Linked DNA regions of Saccharomyces cerevisiae S288C. Changing the gene in region 4 together with the main gene of any one other region gives a genetic interaction. Each region holds a gene or a part of one and is shown on either strand. Other genes may lie near its edges. The genes, in order: YHK8, YLR012C, PRM2 and YLR464W.

Evidence for each region.
Region 1: mutations in YLR464W (region 4) and YHK8 together harm fitness more than expected from each alone (negative genetic interaction), as found in Saccharomyces cerevisiae (one large-scale study listed by BioGRID).
Region 2: mutations in YLR464W (region 4) and YLR012C together harm fitness more than expected from each alone (negative genetic interaction), as found in Saccharomyces cerevisiae (one large-scale study listed by BioGRID).
Region 3: mutations in YLR464W (region 4) and PRM2 together harm fitness more than expected from each alone (negative genetic interaction), as found in Saccharomyces cerevisiae (one large-scale study listed by BioGRID).

Annotation. Positions count from the first base shown.
Region 1 is NC_001140.6:202,079-208,161, reverse strand, and holds YHK8 (Yhk8p), read right to left. Parts: upstream 3,556-6,083; coding exon 2,011-3,555; downstream 1-2,010. Other genes in the region: divalent metal ion transporter SMF2, read right to left, coding at 1-508; FSH1 (putative serine hydrolase), read right to left, coding at 969-1,700. UniProt on the Saccharomyces cerevisiae protein: Probable drug/proton antiporter.
Region 2 is NC_001144.5:168,437-173,506, forward strand, and holds YLR012C (uncharacterized protein), read right to left. Parts: upstream 1,846-5,070; coding exon 1,546-1,845; downstream 1-1,545. Other genes in the region: LOT6 (flavin-dependent quinone reductase), read left to right, coding at 667-1,242; GAT3 (Gat3p), read left to right, coding at 2,903-3,328; PPR1 (Ppr1p), read right to left, coding at 3,832-5,070.
Region 3 is NC_001141.2:282,529-287,228, forward strand, and holds PRM2 (pheromone-regulated protein PRM2), read right to left. Parts: upstream 2,472-4,700; coding exon 501-2,471; downstream 1-500. Other genes in the region: CCR4-NOT core subunit NOT3, read right to left, coding at 1-124; CST6 (Cst6p), read left to right, coding at 3,138-4,700.
Region 4 is NC_001144.5:1,063,859-1,069,453, reverse strand, and holds YLR464W (uncharacterized protein), read right to left. Parts: upstream 2,883-5,595; coding exon 2,370-2,882; intron 2,368-2,369; coding exon of another isoform or gene 2,091-2,367; coding exon 1,953-2,090; downstream 1-1,952. Other genes in the region: YRF1-4 (Y' element ATP-dependent helicase protein 1 copy 4), read right to left, coding at 1-2,367; YLR462W (uncharacterized protein), read right to left, coding at 2,890-3,498.

The DNA.
Region 1 (6,083 bases), on a different chromosome or scaffold from region 4:
CTAGGGCGAGAGGTATATGGAAAAGGATATTCAAAGAAATAGCGGTTCCTACCACTTCTGCCAGATCTGTGGCAATAATTGCCATCTCCGCCAGAATATAAAGAGTAATGTTAAGTCCAAAGGGCAAATGTTTCTTACAATTTTGTGCCAGATCTAGGCCAGTGACAGCACCCAATCTGGCGCAGAGGTACTGCCAAAAAGCAGCCATGAAATTAGAAACTAAGACAGAAAATAAAAGCTTGTACCGATGAGCAGAACCCGCTGCTACAGCTGTACTATAGTTACCAGGATCCATGTACGATACAGATACCATCAAACCAGGACCGATGAACCTAGCATATTTTCTCAATGTTCCGATCATGCTCTGGGATGTTGAGTTTGGCTGCAAAGTTGTTCTTCGACGCGACTCATGAGTGGTATTCACGTCGGCATACGCATCGTTGACACTATCATTATTTGTTTGGGATTCATCGCTCCATTGAATAGGTTCATATTCTTGGGACGTCATCAAACATAAACGCTATACGGAAAATTAGTGGTTAAATGGCAATAGAGATGTGCTAATATTAGTATCAAAACAAATAGTTGTTGAAGAGGGTTTTCTAAACGGTTAAACGCGTTTGATGGTTAAATGACTAGAAGCAAAAGGAGACTGATTCTGAAATTTAATATGATTTCTTTTTTTTCTGCTGTTTCTCTTCTGCATTATTTTCTTCCTTCGAGAAAGAGTATAAGTATGTTTAAAAAGGTCTTCGTAAGCCACGCTAAAGCACCCCGGGTGGATTTTTCGCGCCGGGCGGGGTTAGCAGCACGCAGGATGGAAGAGAAGAGAAAGGATGCTACAAACTTGTGGTTCATTCTATACAAAGTACTTATATGTATATATACATACTCGATCAGCATTTCACTCCACACACCCTGCGTGTGATAGTAAAAAGCTAGAAAGCAGGTAAGCAACAACCTACGATTTATTCAGAAGCTTCTTGTAAGGAAGAGGTTATTTGTTCAACAATTGGTCTGATAATGTCCTTCTTGTTTGGAACCATATGTCCACCAGGGTGTTCGTAAGCCAACACCTTTTCCTTATTACCATTTTGCGCCTTCAAATAAATATCGTACAGGTACTTGGATCTGACGGATGGGACGGCTTGGTCAGAAGCACCATAGATGAAGATCATCTTGGTCTTCATGTCTGGTTTTACCGCAAATGAGTCTCTGAATTTTTCGGTTATTCTCAATTCTCCAGGATGTTCTGGGTCTGGCTCGGTGAAGGAATAGCCGGAAATGACTACACTTACCTTGAATTGTGGATGGTCTGGAACTAACTCTGAGATCTTGTTGGTGATGATAGAGGACAATGCGGCACCTTGAGAGAAACCGACAATGCCGTCGTATGGGCCATTGGCCTTGATGTGATCAACAACAGACTTCAAACCTTCTGAGATATCCAATTCGTGAGAGATTTCGCTGTGATAGAACCAGGCTCTGTTAACATCCGCATCTAGGGTGGCTTGCCATTTTTCATCATCCATTTCAAATGGCAAGTCCTTCTTTTCTAAAAGGACTGGTGCATCAATATAGTCACATTGGACATTAGCCTTCTTCAATAATTTTCTAATACCAGATGATTTTTCGGAGAAAACTTTACCGTTTTGCAAGAAGCCGTGTAAAAATAATAATTTTGGAATTTGTACAGTCATCCTTCGTTTATTACAAGCTAGAGAGTTTCAGATTTAGCTGCTACTTTTACTAGAAAATTAAGATTGGCCGCGTACATCTGGCATTTTGCACCTTTATGGTTTATATACAATATACATTGCAGCCAAAAACATTCGAAAACTAGAGAAAAAGAAAGAAAACATGCGAGAATATGCAAAAATGAAAAAATGCAAAATTTCTTTTTTCTTTGGCCTATGCGTGTTGCCTTTTGAAGATCCGAAACAATCTATCACCAATGACGTAAGCGGGAAAAGATTATGCAACATCCAAAGGAAAAAATATGCAAAAAAATCAATCATCCCATGCATACGGCGACTTGGCTCTCAGTCGGGCACCGTATTTGGTAAACAGAAATGGGACAGGAATCATCGCTACGGTCACCATTGCCAAGAGAAAGCCGGCCCAATTCACTCCCATTGACTTGTACATCTGGAGTCCGAAAAGAGGGAAGACACCGGCCATTATGCATCTCACAAATGTGTTACAAGCCATTCCAGAAGCTGCATATCTTCTATAGGCATCCACTGTATACGCAAAAACACCGGTAAAGACGAAATAAACACCTGAACCGAAAATTGCACTGCCTATAATTGGTGCAATCCAATGGACATGCTTGTAGCAGGTGAATGCAAAAATGAAGAGCCCAACTGGGGTCAAAAAGGCGCCGTAGAACAGAGGCTCGAATCTCATTTCGGGAGTCTTGACGCCATTATTTCTTTTGACTCTCCACTCAAACGTTTTTTGGAATAACAAGCAAGTAGGAGCCGAGAGTATCATGCCGACCATAATACCGATATAGGAGCATGCAATCTCCATGGGCCCAAAGTTGTAAAGTTTCTTGAACACATAAGGAAACGCTACGAAATATAAATATATTATGGCAAGTTCCAATCCAGTATAGAAGCAAAGCACACCCATCATTCGGTCTCGAAGTAACAGGCCAAAGGGTCTTTTGGTTGAGAGAAAGATTGCGGAAAGTAAGGAAGTCTGTTCGCGGGTGACTTCCAGGACAGCATAATACCGTTGATCATTTTTCTCTTTCCTCAATCTCTTAGCTTTACGTATTAACAGCATTGGTTTGTAGGTTTCAGGTATGGTAAAGATGATCATAACGAGACAACATCCAGAAGTGATGAGAAGTGTGATAAATGTCCATTTATAACTTTGATGGTATAAGGCTCCACCAATGATTGGTCCTAAAGAGGGCCCCAAAAAGGCCGATGTAGTGTATATTGCCATAGGAATACCAATTTGGTCTTTGTCGAATATATCGGCAATGGCGCCGCCAGCCACACTTAGAAAGGCTGAACCAAAAAACCCGGATAGAAATCTGCCAAACATGACACCCGTAATGGTCTTGGACCAAATGGTCAAACACTGCCATATGATACTGAGCGTAAGGGCGTATAAAAATGTGATCCTTCGTCCATATAGTTCACTTAGTGGAGACAGAAATAAAGGTCCTATACCGAGCCCAAACACATAAAGCGTAATTCCCAGAGTGCTGACTTCGTGCGAAATATGAAAGTGTTCGATTATGTGCGTTGAAGGAAGCGTCCAGCTGGACGAGATCATCGTAATTACCATCGATGTGAATGTAATTAACGAGGAAATATAATACCGGCGGGCGGTGCTCATATGCCGTGCTATATCTTCTGGGTCCGCGATGTCCTCGTTGAAGGTCACTTCATGCGATTGTTTGCCGTCATTTTTTCGTTCACTGGTCAATTCCAGATCCAGTTTTGCGGCTTTGTCTGAGTTTATTGAACAATGCTCTTCTTCAGTAGATGTCAATGCCGATGACTGTGCACTCGCTATTTGAAATTCTGCAACCATATCCTGTTGTTATATCTGCATATATATGTTCTTAGTATACAAGGTGATACCATACACCAAATGTAAGGCAAATATGCCTTTATATAGGGTCCAGGTGAACGTAACGCATCTAATAACAAGTGTTATTGCTTGACCTAATAATCTGAGATGGTCGCTTCACCGGTAGAAAAATTCTCTGCGTATTACTAATCTCAACAATAGCCAACACTAAATCCGTAGGACCGGCGAAAAGCGTGCTAATCTCCGCTTTATTGCCGGATCCGAAAGGTGTTTCTGGCATCAAGATGTTATAAATCACGGAATTAAGAGAAGGATATTAAATGTGCCATTGCATTTTATTGATATTTCCACTCACCCAGAGGGATAATAATGATCAAAACAGATATACAATTCAGCTCCACTTTTACCTGCGCAACATGACATTTCCAGAACTAGCTTACAATTCGTACACCGGTTATAATTGGTTTATGGTTTCCAATGTAGGACCAATTTTTAGAGATAAATACTGAAGCAAATATTGGATTTCTTCTGTGTTTCACACGAAGAATATGAGTGAACCATTATTCCGGCTTTTGTTTCCTACAGCAAGATGTAAGTTATCTGGTTTGCTTATTACTTAGAAAAAGGGCTCCTGCTGGTGGAGGTAAATTAGATTATGCACCTATCGGCGGGTTAGCGTTGGGCCGTAGCCTTTTGGTCGCTTGCATTTACCACGTATTTTTTCCTTTCAATTTATTATAAGCTTAGAGATACGATTTCAAGGCGCAGCTCTTCTGTTAGCAGTTTTCTCTACGACTTTGTATGAGGTTCATCTCATTTTGTTAGCTTCTATTCACATACCTACTATAACACTAATCCTGCTATGGTTCAGACCCAAATATCTTCAACCCCTGCCATAGGAACTGTAAAAAATAGATTGTAATTCAAAGTACCTTCAGAAAAAAAAAGTTATATACGGCGCATACTACACAGTACGCAATGTGTCACTTGGTACCGCTGTTCTTATGTTCGTTTAAACAAGATCTCGAGGTTTGAGTCAATGTACGAGATTTTGAAACCATGAGGGATGTGCCCTCAAACTTTATGATCTGGTTTCTTTTTTTATTTATATCGTTTTTATGCTGGGTTACGTTGTTGTTTTATATTCCTTGTCTAGTATTACGGTCAGCAGAGGCCAAATCCTATATGCATTATATGTGGTTAGCATTGACTCCTTAATAGAACGGCCAGTTATCAATCAAATTGCCTATAAGCATGGATCACTAGCGGCTAGTATTGTATTGCATTTGGAATAGCCCTCTTCGTTGAGCCACAAAGATATCTTGCGGAAATGTGGCTAAAGCAACTTTTGATGATTGCTGGGAAACGGTTTGGTAAACTGCTGAAGCAATTGTTGTACACAATACTTCTGCTTTTGGCCCCATCTGGATTTTTCATTTCCGCTTTTGCCTCAGGTGCAACAATAACTATCTTTGAGCATCGTACCACCAATACAAAAGGATATGATCGTTATCATACAGAATTTTTCATGGATTTTGCATGTTTCGGTATAACTTTACGTAGGTGAATTATTGAAGGGCTTTGTGATAGGTGTGGATGTACCTGCCGTGCGTTGATGACCTTCAACTGATCGGAACAAATTGCTATTACATGTAAAAATCTCATGTATGAGCGAATCTTTTTGTGTTATAGGCAATCACCTAGAAAAGCTTGGAAATTGGTCCTGAGTTTTTTGTTGATGGTAAGTGCATTTTTTTAGTATGAAAGGTTTACGATATTAGCTGCTAAGTTCTCCCTTGCCCTAGTGAATTACGTTTTTTTCGATTAAAAGGGTTGGTCCCGAAATTGACCTCTTATATGTACCTCAATTGCAGATAGCATCAAATTTAGACTACGTCATCAACCAAATTACACCCTATGAAAAACATAAGATTATAAGCATGCGTTTGTGTAAAGGTCATACCATTTTATACGTTGACGCAATGGTGCAAATAGAAAGGTTTACGAAAGCTCTTATTCCGCTTAGCGCAATTCTATTGTTAATTTCAAGTAAAAAGATAAATATCTCACGTCCTTATATTATCTTTGATTAAAATTTCACGATCAATGTAACGAAAAAAGGTCGCAAATATTTCTTTTTCATCACTCTGATTAAACAATGGCATCATGAAACGCTCATTGGATCGTTACACGTTCTCATTGTACATATGTATGATTTAGAACAGCTTGTTCGCCTGATCTCCACCTTATACCCTCATCTTACCGCAGTGCGGTTTTACGCCTCATGTTATTTTTGCCAGCTTTAATAACAACATCAGTAATATTACGTTATTGGATCTTCCACTCCGGTTCGAGGAAAAAAAGAGAGGAGGAGAAACGCATAAGCTACAATAATGAGTGAGTTAACGCTTTAATTTGCTCAGTGATCATTGCTAGCCGGATATTTGTGTTTTTGTAGAACCCAGCCATACCTAATCATCTCAGTATATTATCTGAATTCTTGACTCAAAATATGGATTTTCTCGAAC
Region 2 (5,070 bases), 900 kb from region 4:
CTTTAACGCCGAGCTTGGCCATTACAATATAGAGCACATGCTATGATCAAATGAATTAGATGAATACAAGCCAAGAAAGCATTTTTTTAATTACACTTCATGCTTTTGTTGGAATGAAACTGTAAAATACCATCTGTTTAGTAGTATTTGTGTTACCAGTATACCGTCACATGCGGTGTAACGTGAGGACATAAAAAAGTCATCAAAATTAATGTCCCCACGTTACACTGTATATGACAGTATATACTACTGACATGAATACTAGTCGATAGTTAATACATGATTCTTATTACAACATGATGATTACAGTCTCGTCTTGGTCTGTTGTTTGACCCTACTATTTTATGCTATTTTTTGTATCTGATTTGAATTCAAGGCAATTGTTGTAATTCCATTCTTGGCATAACCCTGTGTAGATTCTACAGATAAGCTGCTTTTTTCTTTGAGTGGTGCCCCCGTTGTTTATTACCCGTCAGTATCATAACATTTGAGCATCTCACATGGTTACGAATGTAAATATGAATCAAAGAAGGTGCAAAATCAAAAAAAATCGAAAGATTTGACATGCCTATTGAAAAGGGAAAGTTGTATATCTATCAATTGTTAATTAGTTACTTGGTCATCTCCATTACCAGCTGAGGTGCTTAGTCGACAACCGCATTAAACATGAAAGTGGGTATTATAATGGGTTCTGTGAGGGCAAAGAGGGTATGCCCAGAAATTGCAGCATACGTAAAACGTACAATTGAAAATAGCGAAGAATTAATAGACCAGAAGCTGAAAATACAAGTAGTAGATTTACAACAGATTGCTCTTCCCTTATATGAAGATGATGACGAACTGATCCCTGCGCAAATAAAGAGCGTGGATGAGTATGCAGACAGCAAAACTCGATCGTGGAGTCGCATCGTAAATGCATTAGATATTATTGTATTCGTTACACCTCAATATAATTGGGGGTATCCAGCAGCCTTAAAAAATGCAATTGATCGTCTTTACCATGAATGGCACGGAAAACCTGCCCTGGTGGTAAGCTACGGCGGTCATGGCGGTAGTAAGTGTAATGACCAACTTCAAGAGGTACTACATGGTTTGAAGATGAATGTTATAGGTGGAGTGGCGGTGAAAATACCGGTAGGTACGATACCGTTACCCGAGGACATTGTACCACAACTCAGCGTGCACAATGAAGAGATCCTGCAATTACTCGCATCGTGCATCGAAACAACGAGGAATAAATAAACCATAAAATTTAACTGTAGTCGCAATAAAAGATGAAAAGCTAACACAATTATCATAGGACACTGTAATCCAGACTTTAATTAGTATTAAGTATTGAGTACAAAGTACAAAGTATTATACTAACGGTAGTTTGGGCTCTTCGATTACCCATACACTTTTAATGGACTAATTTCATCAAGTTTCATTCGAAAATTTTCTTAAAATATATATATGCGTAGTGGTATAGTATTCATATTTCATGAACTTATTTCATAAAAAAAGATAAAGCAAACCTAATATTTGGATCGGCGCTCGAAATTATTCTCAGTATTCTTCAGCATTAGACATCTTTAACATATCAATCTTTAAAAGGTTTCTTCTTCTTCTGTAGCTCGGAATATAAGCATTCATATATGACCATGTTGTAACGCGATCGAACCAAGCAACTTCTTCTTGTGCAAATTTCCTAGCAATACCAGGCACACCTCCTTGACGATCAAATGCAATTCTTTCAGTCTCTTGTTCAAAATCTTTTTGACATAAAGCCAGGTATTTTTCCTGTTGTTCAGGTTGCAGTTGAAGATACTGCTGGTAGGTGATTTCTTTGTAATAGACAGTCTTCATTTGAATATGTTCGAGACTTTTTCTCTTAATCTCTATGAATATTTTCTGTCTTGAAGCTGCCGTCTTCATAGAATGTTGTTCTATTATCCACCTCGAACATGGCCTTTTTATACGTTTTTACATTAAACATCCCCTTCATATTAGTTTGTTCTCGACTTAATTCTACTCATGCTTCTGACATTTTTTCATGCCAAGACCGGCCCTGAAAAAGGGTCCGGATATACGGATAGCGCCACACATTCAATTAGGGGAAGTATTATTTGATACATTGTCAGCACACAGCGATTTAACCCATTATTTGGCATGACAAGCAAGCTATTCGACAGTGAAAAATGCACAGAACATTCAAAATTATACTTATAATATGACTCTTTTCTTTTATTGCAGTTGGTATTATATACATATATATATATATATATATATGTATATGTTCCCCGAGACAATGGTTTTATTTCCAAAAAAAGTGTAAGTAAGTTATTTTCTGTGTATAAAAAAATAAAAGAAGCCAGATGAAGTGCCAGGTGGCGTACCAGGACTTCAGCTTTCTTTAGTTTGCATAATGAAAGTATCACTTACAGCTCCCTTGAAGGATTAGACGCTATTAACCCCGATGAAAACGCATCAACAAAACCTTTAACACAGTACTTATTTGGTGCAATACATACTCACACAAACACCTGTAGAAAATCCCCTTATATGAAAATCCCTTTTTTTTCTTGGCAAGTATTTCTGATAAAATGCGGACAACATTACCTGCTTAGCCGCCTGCCACAGAAAATAAGTAGGCTTCTCTGTAAAATGGAATAATAGGCTAGAGGTCAAAAACCTCCTCTTCAGTCATATCTATGTTTTTAAGGGTCTAGGGTCCAATTTGATGGAAAAGAACAAATGGTCGAGCATGTTAATTAATATTTGTTGCTCTGTTTGAAGAGTATATTATAAGACGAGAGGTTCTTTGAGGGAGCTTATCTTACCTTTTCTTGATTTGAAACAATTTCATTAAATGTAAACAATTATCAACTAGAAGCAAATATAAAGCCAGAAGGAAGAATTTGCTATGAACATTAAGACTTTGTGTCATCCAGAATATAAAAGAATCTCCGTTGAATCGTTATTGAATCCGGTAGAGGAGACAATAGACTGCGAAAAACCTCACTCTCAAACAAAAATCAATACTGCTAAACCCATTAGTGCATCTTTGTATGTCACAACGAATAATACTGCTGTTGTTCAGCACAATGTCCAAAAGAGGAAAGGCGTCACCAGGAGATGTCCACAGTGTGCGGTGATAAAAACTTCTCCGCAATGGAGAGAGGGTCCTGATGGAGAGGTGACATTGTGTAATGCCTGTGGATTATTTTATAGAAAAATATTTTTGGTTTTTGGCAAGGATCTGGCAAAACGGTACTTTAACGAAATAAAAGGTGTGAGCGTCAAACGAAAAGTTCCAAAGAGCCTCTATGGAGTTACAAGAACGCGTTAAGAGAATTTATTTCTGCTCGGAATGTTATATACTTATGTCAAAGCAGTGATTATACATTTATCGACTTTAAACAGTTGATAACGAACATTATGTGTTATTCGAAAGTCAAAGTGCCATACAAAACAAGTGGTTTCTCAGTTCTTGCAATTTTTCTTTATCAGCGTAGTCCCAGAAAAAAAAATCATCACTGGAAATGTAAGATGAATTCAAGTATCAAGTGCCGTTGGTATTATAGTTTATCAATTAATACGTAAATATATATATATATATATATATATATATATATGACTATAGTGGCATACTTCTCAATGGACTGTTGCTTCTATCATTTTATACATGCGTTCAACTTTGAAGATTATCACAAAAACCTCAAACTTTTCAATTAATCTGCCCCGGTCATTTAAGTTAGCTCTTTTAGGACTCTCATGTTTTCAAAAAATAGATTGAAAAGAGCATTGGTGGCCCTACTTTCAATCCATTGATCATGATTCTTCGAGCTATCGCTAAAATATTCCACCGGATTCAGAGTTCTTTCCTTTACTGATATCGTAAGAAGACTCGCCTTCGTTTCCGTTACCAGACCTGACAAAAAACTCATCCCATACAGATCCCGAAGTAACCTGGAAAAGGATATCCATGATATCTTGATTATTGGTATACGACTGGCAATTCAATGCAGAAGACGTATTTGTAGAAGCACTTTCATTTATCACTTGATTACCTTCGCTTACATCTAAAGTATTAAACTGGGAAACATTGCTGTGTTTTTCCAGTTCGGTAAAAAATTCATCTAGAGGTATATCAAAAGGTGCTTTTTCTTCAAAATTGGTTCTATTAAAAACCTTGTTATCAAAAGTACCGTCGTCAAAACCAAGTACGTTCGTTTTTTTATCATAACTTGACATGCGGTTTGCCTGAGAGGTTAGGGGATTTGAATCCGAAAATATCCCTTTGGCATCATTTATTTGCATAAATTTTAACTTTATTACAACTGATGATAAAATTTTGTAACTCGTGTAACAGGTTTTCGCAGATTCGCAAAAACCTATCAGATTCTTCAGTACTATCAACACTTTTTCAGTGTACTCTGACACTTTTTCTTGACAATCATTTATGTTGTTTTTTGAGTAAAAATTTACGTAAAGGTAAGTCATACCTGTCATGAACATGTTATGAACTGCTACCCACGTGTAACCAATTTTTTTATTGACACAAAGATTGTAAAATACGTCTATGGTGCCCTTCGTACTGTCCAGGACAATTTTAAAAGCGGTATCATTCAAAGTAGGGAATTTTGGAGAAAGTCCATAAAGAATGCTCTTCGAGTAATGATAGTTCAGATCAAACCAGATGCTGTTAAATTTGCAATTCATCATCTCAAAGTTTTTGGGAACGTCCACTTGGAACCAACGCTCAAGCTCATTGTAGGTTTCAATCCGCCAGCTCTCGAGATCCATAAACCTCCTCGGCAATTCTGCACCGGGCGCGTAGAGTATTCTCACTATACTAGCTTGGATTCTTCTGATTTTATACATGGCCAATGCGATAACTTTTGAAGACGGATTTGGGCTTGGTAAGTCTGAGTAGTCGTCAATTTCTCGGTTAGTTAATGTGATGAAGGAATCGTCCAAAAGGCTAGGATACCTGGTGGTGATGCTTTCTTCAGGTATACCAAAAGGTCGACCAAAATACGAGCAAATTTGCCGATCTAAGGAGTAAACGCACCAAAATAGACGCCTGCG
Region 3 (4,700 bases), on a different chromosome or scaffold from region 4:
CCTTTTGGGAAGGATTGTTTGTGCATGATTCATGTCTTTCGTAATAGCTATTGAAGATTTCTAAACCTTCGTTAATTTTTTTAAAGACCCTATCGACCTCCTGCTGTAATTTTCTATGAGCCATGTCGATCGACTAAACATACAATGAATCTTCAAAAATCTAAATTTGAAAATGAATAAATAAATGTGCTGTAGATAATAGCTTTTGATTTTTTGTCTTGACACAATGAGACTTCTCGTTAAAGTCAAACCAAAAGGAGATGAACAAAAGAAAGTTCGAAATATCAACAAAATGCTTTAAAAAATGTAGAAGCAAAGTTATTAATAACTTTACAAGCGCCTTAGTCAGTTTATTGATCTGTAGGTCAGTAGGTTTTAGAGATTACGCACAGATGAAAGTGAATTAAGCTACTATTACATAAAATCAAGGTATCTTTCACAAGTTTTTCACTCAGCGAAAATTGCGAGACCGCTCGTGGAAGGTGACGATAATACGATACTTACAACTTTAATATTATAAATATAAGCATGTGGTGGAACAATATAGTCAGGCAAACTGCTAAAAGTCCCCACTTATAAACAGTGTGTAAAAAGTACGTTTGTTTTTGCTCCTTATCCTTTATTTGGCGTTTTGACAGTGAAGACAATGCCGCTACCGATGCGTTGGTTATATTAATTCCTCGATTAATTATACCATATTTTTGAATGTCCAGTGCAAATGAAGAATTTGTATTCGTAACTTCGTATGTCGGTAGGAAATACTGACCCAGGAACTCATTAATTGAATCGCTGCCTAACAGAGGCTCAACCTGCAGGTCTATCCCCTGCCAATTTTGAGAACTCTCATTAAGATATTTTTCAAACTGAGTGTTTGTGTCGTTAACCCAAAGATTTAGGATGTCCGTTGATTGCACTTTCAAATTGGGGTCAGTTTGAAGGCTTAAATTTGCTGTAATGAACTTTTCATTCACTTCCATTTGGAAATTTTCACACAATAATGATACGCTGTCATTAATGAAACCCTCTATCGTAGTTGTTATATTTCCATCTGTCCAAACTTCCCTTTTGTATAGCGAAGGTCCCGCTCTTTTGTGGAATGTAGGCAAACTGGGTACTTCAAAGTTTGTTAATCGCGTCACTATCTGCCAATGAATTAATAACATCAAAAAACCAAACAGCCACAGGTGAGCCCCATTTGAGATTATCCACCAGTTACAGTAAAATAGTTTTGATTTTTTGACTTTTTTGTCATCGATTTTTTCTGGTTCTCTTTTAAATATTTTTTGATTGATAAGCTTTGTTAATTGGTAGGGAATTGGATAAAGTGTACTGAGATTCAGAGTAGTAATTAAGCTTTTCAAAACTTTGTTGTATTTAGTAAAATTGGTTTGTCCTGTCAGGCCATTAATTTGGGACATAACCAGGTTTACTTGCTGATTTTCCAGCTGAAACAGAATTCTTTCGATTGCCATGAGCAAAATCACAAATGCAAAGTACATGACTGTGAAAATTATTGTCATTCTCTTACATTTACGGAAAACGTGATTTTTTACTGCACTTAGTACACTGTTTTCCTCGCTATTTGTTTTCAGAGACCGTTTAATTATTGAAGTAGACGATGTAACCTCGGTACTCCCCCCAGATAAAATGGAAATTTCATTCTGTAAGTTTGCAGTAAAGTTCCTTTTCAACTGAAGCCAGTCAGTGGAATTTCGTAGAAAATTCAAACTTAAGGTACTAGAGGTATCTAATTGAGTAGAAAAGTCAGTGATAGTGCCATTGAAGTTCTGCAATGATTTCAATTTCCTTGAGTAGTTCCCAAAAATACTGTCAAACATGGAGTAATTTAACAGTAGGTTTGATGCCATTTGTGAAATGGAATCCTTATCAATGGTCATTGCGTCTTCTGATATTTCATTCCATGTGTCATTTATCAGCTGTGATTTAGTGAGTAGTTCGTTAAAAATTGTATTGTTTACCTCAAGAACTTCCTTAATCAATTCAGTTTCCAAACTTATTTGGTCGTTGATAAGTTTTTGTTTATTATCCAGTATGTCGTCTGTGTATGACTTGAATTTTTCTTGCATATCCGTACCTACCGTAGATTCAATACTCCGTAGTTTGCTTTCGAAATACTGATCAATTGTATTATCAATGAATGTTTTATTTAAAGAGTAACTGTTGGCAGAATATATGGCATGCTGTGTTGTGACTGCTGTCATTGTGGCCGTTGTTGTGGCCGTTGTTGTGGCTGTCGCTGTAGCAGTTGAAATAGATGCAAAGGTTGAGACGGTATCATTTCGTTTGACCTGTGCGTGAGACATTTTTGCCATTGTAATGTCAATGACTGAAAAGGAACCCCAAATAGTTAAAATAACAGAAGTAAAGAATATCAGTAATAGAGGATGGAAAATACAACTAAAAAACCTCTGTGGAAGTGATAAAGGTTTAATTATGTGTACATTGTTCATCTTTGCCGTACTCTTAGTTTTATCGAAAAGTGGTGTAGATTTTCAGCTACTTAAGCCATGTTAGTGTTCTAGTTTTTTGCTTTACATGTTATATAAAGGGCCAAGATAGCATATGTAAATGTTTTATTACTGGGCTGAAACATTTTTAAAACATTTTTCAATAATGTGCTGTTATAACCGTACAAGGACGGTTATAATTCTGAATTAAAATGCTGCACCGAATGAAAATACCAATGTTCTTCCAAACCTATTGGCGAAAATTAAGATAAGCTGTCGCCTCTATAATCAAGAATAATCTCAACTATTATAAATATTATTCCCAGAAGTTGAAATTGTGACACATTTGAGTAATATCACCTTACACGGAACATAGTTGCCCCCTTCTCCGAAATTGCTGACAATGATAATCGGGGATTCAATGACAATGACAATGAAGGCAAAAGATTTTCATATTGTACTCTTGTTTTTTGAGTTATCACTTTCAAGTACCTTCTTGTTAACAGAAATAGAACCGCTATAGAGGTTATCGTGTATACGTATCTGTTGGTGTTTCTAAATCAAAAACTCGCTTTTAAAGCAGTCTTTCAATTGGAAGATTCAAAAGGATCTAAAAAGATCTAAAGTAGTAAAGAAAAAAGTATAAGCCCACACCTTTTTGGTAGGATAATGTTTACTGGTCAGGAGTATCATTCCGTAGACTCTAATTCCAACAAGCAAAAAGACAACAATAAACGTGGTATTGATGACACATCAAAGATCTTGAATAATAAGATACCGCACTCTGTTAGTGATACTTCTGCCGCCGCCACCACCACTTCTACTATGAACAATTCTGCTTTAAGTAGATCCTTAGATCCTACTGACATAAACTATAGCACAAATATGGCTGGTGTGGTTGACCAAATACATGATTATACTACTTCCAATAGAAATTCTTTAACCCCACAATATTCTATTGCAGCTGGAAACGTCAATTCGCATGATCGGGTTGTTAAACCCAGCGCCAATTCAAACTATCAGCAGGCTGCATACCTTCGACAACAGCAACAGCAGGATCAGCGACAACAGTCACCCTCTATGAAAACTGAAGAGGAATCCCAACTCTACGGTGATATTCTGATGAATTCTGGTGTCGTACAGGATATGCATCAGAATCTGGCCACTCATACAAATCTGAGCCAACTGTCGTCTACCCGTAAGTCCGCTCCGAATGATTCTACTACAGCCCCGACTAATGCGTCCAACATCGCCAATACGGCTTCTGTGAACAAGCAGATGTATTTCATGAACATGAATATGAATAACAACCCACATGCCTTGAACGATCCATCCATCCTGGAAACATTGTCGCCATTTTTTCAACCTTTTGGTGTTGATGTAGCACATTTACCTATGACGAATCCACCAATTTTCCAAAGTTCTTTGCCTGGATGCGATGAGCCAATTAGAAGAAGAAGAATATCAATCTCTAACGGTCAAATAAGCCAGCTAGGCGAAGATATTGAAACTTTGGAAAACCTGCACAACACACAGCCGCCCCCGATGCCCAATTTTCACAATTATAATGGTCTGAGCCAAACTAGGAATGTATCAAACAAGCCGGTCTTCAACCAAGCAGTGCCGGTTAGTAGTATTCCACAATACAATGCAAAAAAAGTTATTAATCCCACGAAGGACTCCGCATTGGGTGATCAGAGCGTTATTTACTCGAAAAGTCAGCAGCGAAATTTTGTAAACGCGCCATCAAAGAATACTCCAGCGGAGAGTATAAGTGATTTGGAAGGCATGACGACGTTTGCGCCAACTACTGGAGGTGAAAATAGGGGCAAATCTGCACTTAGGGAATCTCACTCTAATCCTAGCTTCACTCCAAAATCTCAAGGATCTCATTTAAATTTAGCGGCGAACACACAGGGAAATCCAATCCCTGGTACTACGGCATGGAAGAGAGCAAGATTGTTAGAAAGAAATCGAATTGCAGCTTCGAAATGTAGACAAAGGAAAAAGGTTGCGCAGCTGCAGCTCCAAAAGGAATTTAACGAAATTAAAGACGAGAATAGAATTTTACTGAAAAAGTTAAATTACTATGAAAAACTAATCTCTAAATTCAAGAAATTCTCCAAAATTCATTTACGTGAACATGAAAAACTAAATAAAGACTCAGATAATAATGTTAATGGCACTAATAGTAGCAACAAAAATGAAAGCATGACTGTGGATTCATTAAAG
Region 4 (5,595 bases):
TATCAGTTCCACTGTGTCAGCAGACAGGTCTGTCCTGGAGCCACAGCATCCAACATGCTGGCCCTTTTTTCCTTTCTTTGATTCAAGTCCATAGAACTCGCGTACCTGTTCGGTTATACAGCCTTCCTTAATCGGTGGTAATTCACCCTTACGATTCCTTGCCGCCCAACTGTTTTTTCTAGATAATAGATAACAGAGGCCCCCATCTCTTAGTCTCCCTACGCCTTGAATGAGCTCAATAATATTAAGTCTATTATCAAGCATGATCACCATCATCAATTGCTTAATGTCAATTCCTTCAGTCACTAATTTCGTTCCGATGAGAACTCGCATGCTACCGTCAGTGACAAACTCCTTTGTGCGAGACACCTTTTCTGCAGCACCCAGCTTCCCGTGTATCCATACCACCCTAAAATACTTTCTCCAAGAGCAGGCCAATTCTTCCACTTCGTTGGTTGTGCTTGCAACTACAATGGCCTTCGACTCTGGTTCAATTTCAAAGAGGGCTAAAAGAAGCTTCAGTGCTTCTTCGGGCTGTGATTCCACTTTCTTCCAAATTTTATGAACATGCCCTAAAGGCACCTCGGATTTCTCCTTGATTAGATTAAACATCCGTGTTGGATAGCTGGATAGACCTCTGCTGAGATCTTCCGACCGTTTGAGCTCGTTGATGTCCATCGACTTCTTGGCCAGTCCCGTAAGCCCAATACGCTGCAACGCAGCATCAGCTACAGCCTCAGGTGCTGTGCCGCTCAAAAAGATTGCTTTCTCAAAAGCGTCAAAATCAAGGTTAGTTATGCCCCCAAATTGCGACTGCCGGTAGACCTCCGTTTCAAAGTTGTGAAACTCATCTACAATGAGGTAACCCAATTTTACGTTGTTGGTCCTAAAGGTGCACTCAACAATATTCTCCCACGCAGCTATCCTGTCTGTGAAATTAGTGCTAGCAAGATCATCGTAGATCCCCACGTATAAATCAGTAACGCCATCGCAACCTTCTTCAATAAAGTTTCTTACAGGGGCCACATTCAAGCAACCGCATCGGCTCAACCTGATCATGCAATTAGCAAGCAACACTGTGTACGGTACAAACAGAAACGACACATATTTCACGTCGCCCTTAGACGCCAGTGCTATCAAGGGGAGATGAAATAACTCCGTCTTACCATAGCCCGGTGGGGCCTGTACTGCCACAGAGGGTGTGTCTGCCATGTATATTTCATGACATAAGCGCAACTGATGCAAGTCCCTGAATTCAAAGGAGCTGCCAAAGAGTTTCCGGCCTGCGACGAGGATATCGTTTGTACTCTTGGGCTCTCGGGGCCTTTTTCGCGTTACTCTTGAAATTTTTTGATGATGATCTGAACTCGCCGCCTCACCTGCCACTACGTCTTCCGCATTCCGAGTACTAGAGAATGAACAATGGTAGTCGCTTTCAAGGCCTAACCATTGAATCCAGCGCTCGGAAGCTCGTTCCTGCAATAAAGTGGCGGTCGTCCCACTGACACTAGTTAACGAAAAGGAATCCACACCGTAAATATTTCGCCCTGTTTGAACGGAATGATTGGCCATGAGTTCACTCGTCGCCGACTCGTACAAATCTGTTTCAAATCTGCTACCTACGCAGTGCCGTCCTAGGGCAATCAACCCCTGACGCATCTCCCGAAAATTCAGCTTCTGAGGTGCATTCTTCGGAAGTTCCCTCATGTACTGCCGAAAAGTTGCGTATTCAACCAGACAGCCCTTCGCGGTATTCAGAAACATGTAGGAATACAAAACTATCCTCGAAATGTCTCGATTTGTTACTTGATCTGGATCCTCAAATCCCACCACATCCATCCAAGGATCATGATTAAAAGCGTCATAACTGTTACCAAGCGCACATATTTGCATTTGCCTTAGCACAGTGACAAAATAAAACACGTAATCTGAAGTGAGTCCGTCAAGCGTCTTTAGTCGAGGCTCCGATGAACCGTTCTTGTTGTAATCAGTGTACAGTTGGATGCGTCTTGTTGTATCATCGACGTATACGTTGCGCTGAGGACCGGCAAAAGCGAGTAGCTGAAGCTCTGGATAACGGTAAGGGTATCCTACGGCAAAATGGATCATCCACATAAGTGGCACCGTAAGCTCGTCAATTGCAACAGCGACTTTATTTTTAAGAGCCGCGGTCATTTTGTTAGTATCTCTTCTCAACTTGGGCAGCACAATTTCACGATATTTAACAGGTATCATTTGAAAAAAAGAATCGTTTTCCAGATACTCGTCAATTCCTCGCTTCGGTTCTCTGAACAAAACTTCTCGATTACGCAAAATGAGGCTGGCATATGGAAGCAGTTGTTCAACTCTCCCCAAAGTTTTCCACATACTGATATACCATCAGAAGAAGGTACCAAAGTTATTCTATAAGAGTCCTTCAGCGTGGTTTCCTGCGCTACTTCGTGGTACAGAATTTTGATCCATTTCCACATTGCAACGCCGTTGTTGTCATCAAATATATCTAAATCCCTTGCGGTACAAGCACAAGACGACACCAATAAAGCTTTCACGGCATCTAGTGTTTTTCTGAGTCTTCGTGGAGTGTTAGGACTGCGCAACTTACATACTTTCAGGCCATGCTCGTCCACAGAGGGAATAATGGGTTCTTCATTCGTAATAGATCGATCCTCTTCGTCACCAGCGCCACCACGGGGACCCGCCCCGAAATTGAGTGCACATGCTCGCAAGATAATATGCAAAATATCACCCAATCGGTCCTTTTTGTTCATCATATCGTTACATATCTGTGAAAAGTACTTTATCTCAATGGGTTTACGTGGGCATAGATCACGCTTCAGCCGCTCTGTGTCGACTTTCTTTTCGCCAGGTAAACTTGCTTGCATAGCTCATCTACGTGTAGGCTGCCAAATTGTACCCATATTTCCTTATGGTGCTTTTCTGAAGACTCCTTACAATAGGTGCGCCGGAAACAAAGTCAGTGAAAGTACGCATCGTAGAGCTGTCGTTCGGCCTAGCACTCGCTATTTCGTGACAACGTTCCAGGACACGGAAACTCAACTCATTATAGTATCCTCTGTTGAGGTAAAAAAGAGAAAGGGTATCGTAATCCTTTCTATTGAATTTCAAAGTATGCACTTGAAACAACGTGTAGACCATCAAGTTGATTTTCTTGGGAACAAGATACTTTGAAGGGATTGGTCCGCCCTGGAAATCTGGTTCGTCTTCAACAAACGTCAGGAACTTTTTTACATTTTTCCCGACCATGACGGAAATGACAACTTTTTCAAAAGACCTTTTCCTATCCATTGCACCAGTTCTGAATTTTACCACTTTGATTAGGCCAGACTTTTCGTCTTCGTAGAATGACCGCACTTCCGTGGGGATCGATTCAAATAAAGTTATTGAGGGACAATGTACCAAGTCGTTTTTGTTATTTAGAGCCGACTCAAACTCGTCAAAGTTTGCTTTTTCAAACTTACGCCTATCGGAAACTTTCATTTTATTTTTGTAAGTTTCGAAATTAACAATAGTATGTTGATTTTTATGCTTTTTGACAAGAAATCCATCAATATAAACAAAAGATTGTCCAGTTTTCGTCTTATCATCATCTAAGAATGTAATAATTAAGCTATTGAGAAGATGCAGAATCTGCGCTATGCAGGTGCAGCAAAAGCAAACAAAATCTCACTAAGATAAGCGACTGTCTGTCCCCTTCAAGCACAACATAGAAAACAGAAGGATGTCTCATTCATCGCTTGATTTCCGGCCTGCAAAAATAAAGTAGTCGGTACGTACTTTCGTTTTCAATTTCCATGGTGCACAGTATCTTAACTATCTGCTTAGTCGAGGAGAACCAGGATTCTGTTCGTTGCTCAGCCGCTTCGTGGATATTCTCTTGGATACTTTAAACATGGACCTACGTTCCGCTCTCGAAAAGACCAATATAATAAAAAGTTATAAATTACATTTCCTTATTAGGTATACGACCTCGCGCTTCGAAGTAGAGGAGCCCTTTTTGGCGTACCTACATATGGCGCGTCAGACAGACAAACTTCCCCCAAAAATGTATTACCCCGCCGAATAAGAAAACAGACCCATTCACCAACGACGTATCAAGTTACTTCCTTGGTTTGCAATGTCCCACTATAAAAAAATTCCTTGACGCTAGATCTTTGGGCTAAAATCTGCGTCAAACAGGAAATATTGCCTATTTTCGTACAAGGTTACTTCCTAGATGCTATATGTCCCTACGGCCTTGTCTAACACCATCCAGCATGCAATAAGGTGACATAGATATACACACCACACCCACACCCACACCCACACCCACACCCACACCACACCCACCACACCCACACACCACACACACACACACCACACCACACCCACACACCCACACACCACACCCACACACACACACACACCTAACCCTAACACTACCCTACTCTAACCCTGATCAACCTGTCTCTCAACTTACCCTCCATTACCCTACTCCCCACTCGTTACCCTGTCTCATTCAACTATACCACTCCCAACTACCATCCACCTCTCTACTTCCTACCACCAACCCACCGTCCACCATAACCGTTACCCTCCAATTACCCATATCCAACTCCGCCACCACTTACCCTGCCATTCCTCTACCATCTCCCATCTACTACTCACCATACTGTTGTTCTACCCACCATATTGAAACGTTAACAAATGATCGTAAACAATACACATATACTTACCCTATCACTCTATACCATCACCACCACTTGCCACACTCACCTTCACTTGTATACTGATATGTCATACGCACACGGATACTACAGTATATACCATCTCAACTTACCCTACTCTCATATTCCACTCCACTCCATGGCCCATCTCTCACTAAATCAGTGCCAAATGCACTCACATCATTATGCACGGCACTTGCCTCAGCGGTCTATACTCTGTGCCATTTACCCATAAATCCCATGATTATCCACATTTTAATATCTATATCTCATTCAGTGGCCTCGAATATTGTAAAAATGCTCTTAATACATACGTTATATTACTTTTGCACCATATACTAACCACTCAATTTAAATACACTTATGCCAATATTACAGAAAAATCACCACTAAAATCACCTAAACATAAAAATATTCTATTCTTCAACAATAATACAAAAACATATTGACTTGGAGTATGAACACTACCATGACGTCATTAACGTAAAAGTTCCTTAATATTGCAGTTTGCTTGAACGGATGCCATTTCAGAATATTTCGTACTTATGCAGACCATACATTAGAATAATATGCTACCTCACTGTCGTAACACTCTCCATTCACTGTGCTATAATATGGTACTGTGTTGACACTCATGCGGGTGCTATGATAAAATTGTATCCTATTTCCATTCCCATATGCTATCCGCAATATCCTAAAAGCATAACTGATGCATCTTTAATCTTGTATGTGACACTACTCATACGAAGAGACTATATCTGAACAAGACGATACTGTGATAGGTACGTTATTTAATAGGATCTATAACGAAATGTCAAATAATTTTACGGTAATATAACTTATCAGCGGCGTATACTGAAACGGACGTTAC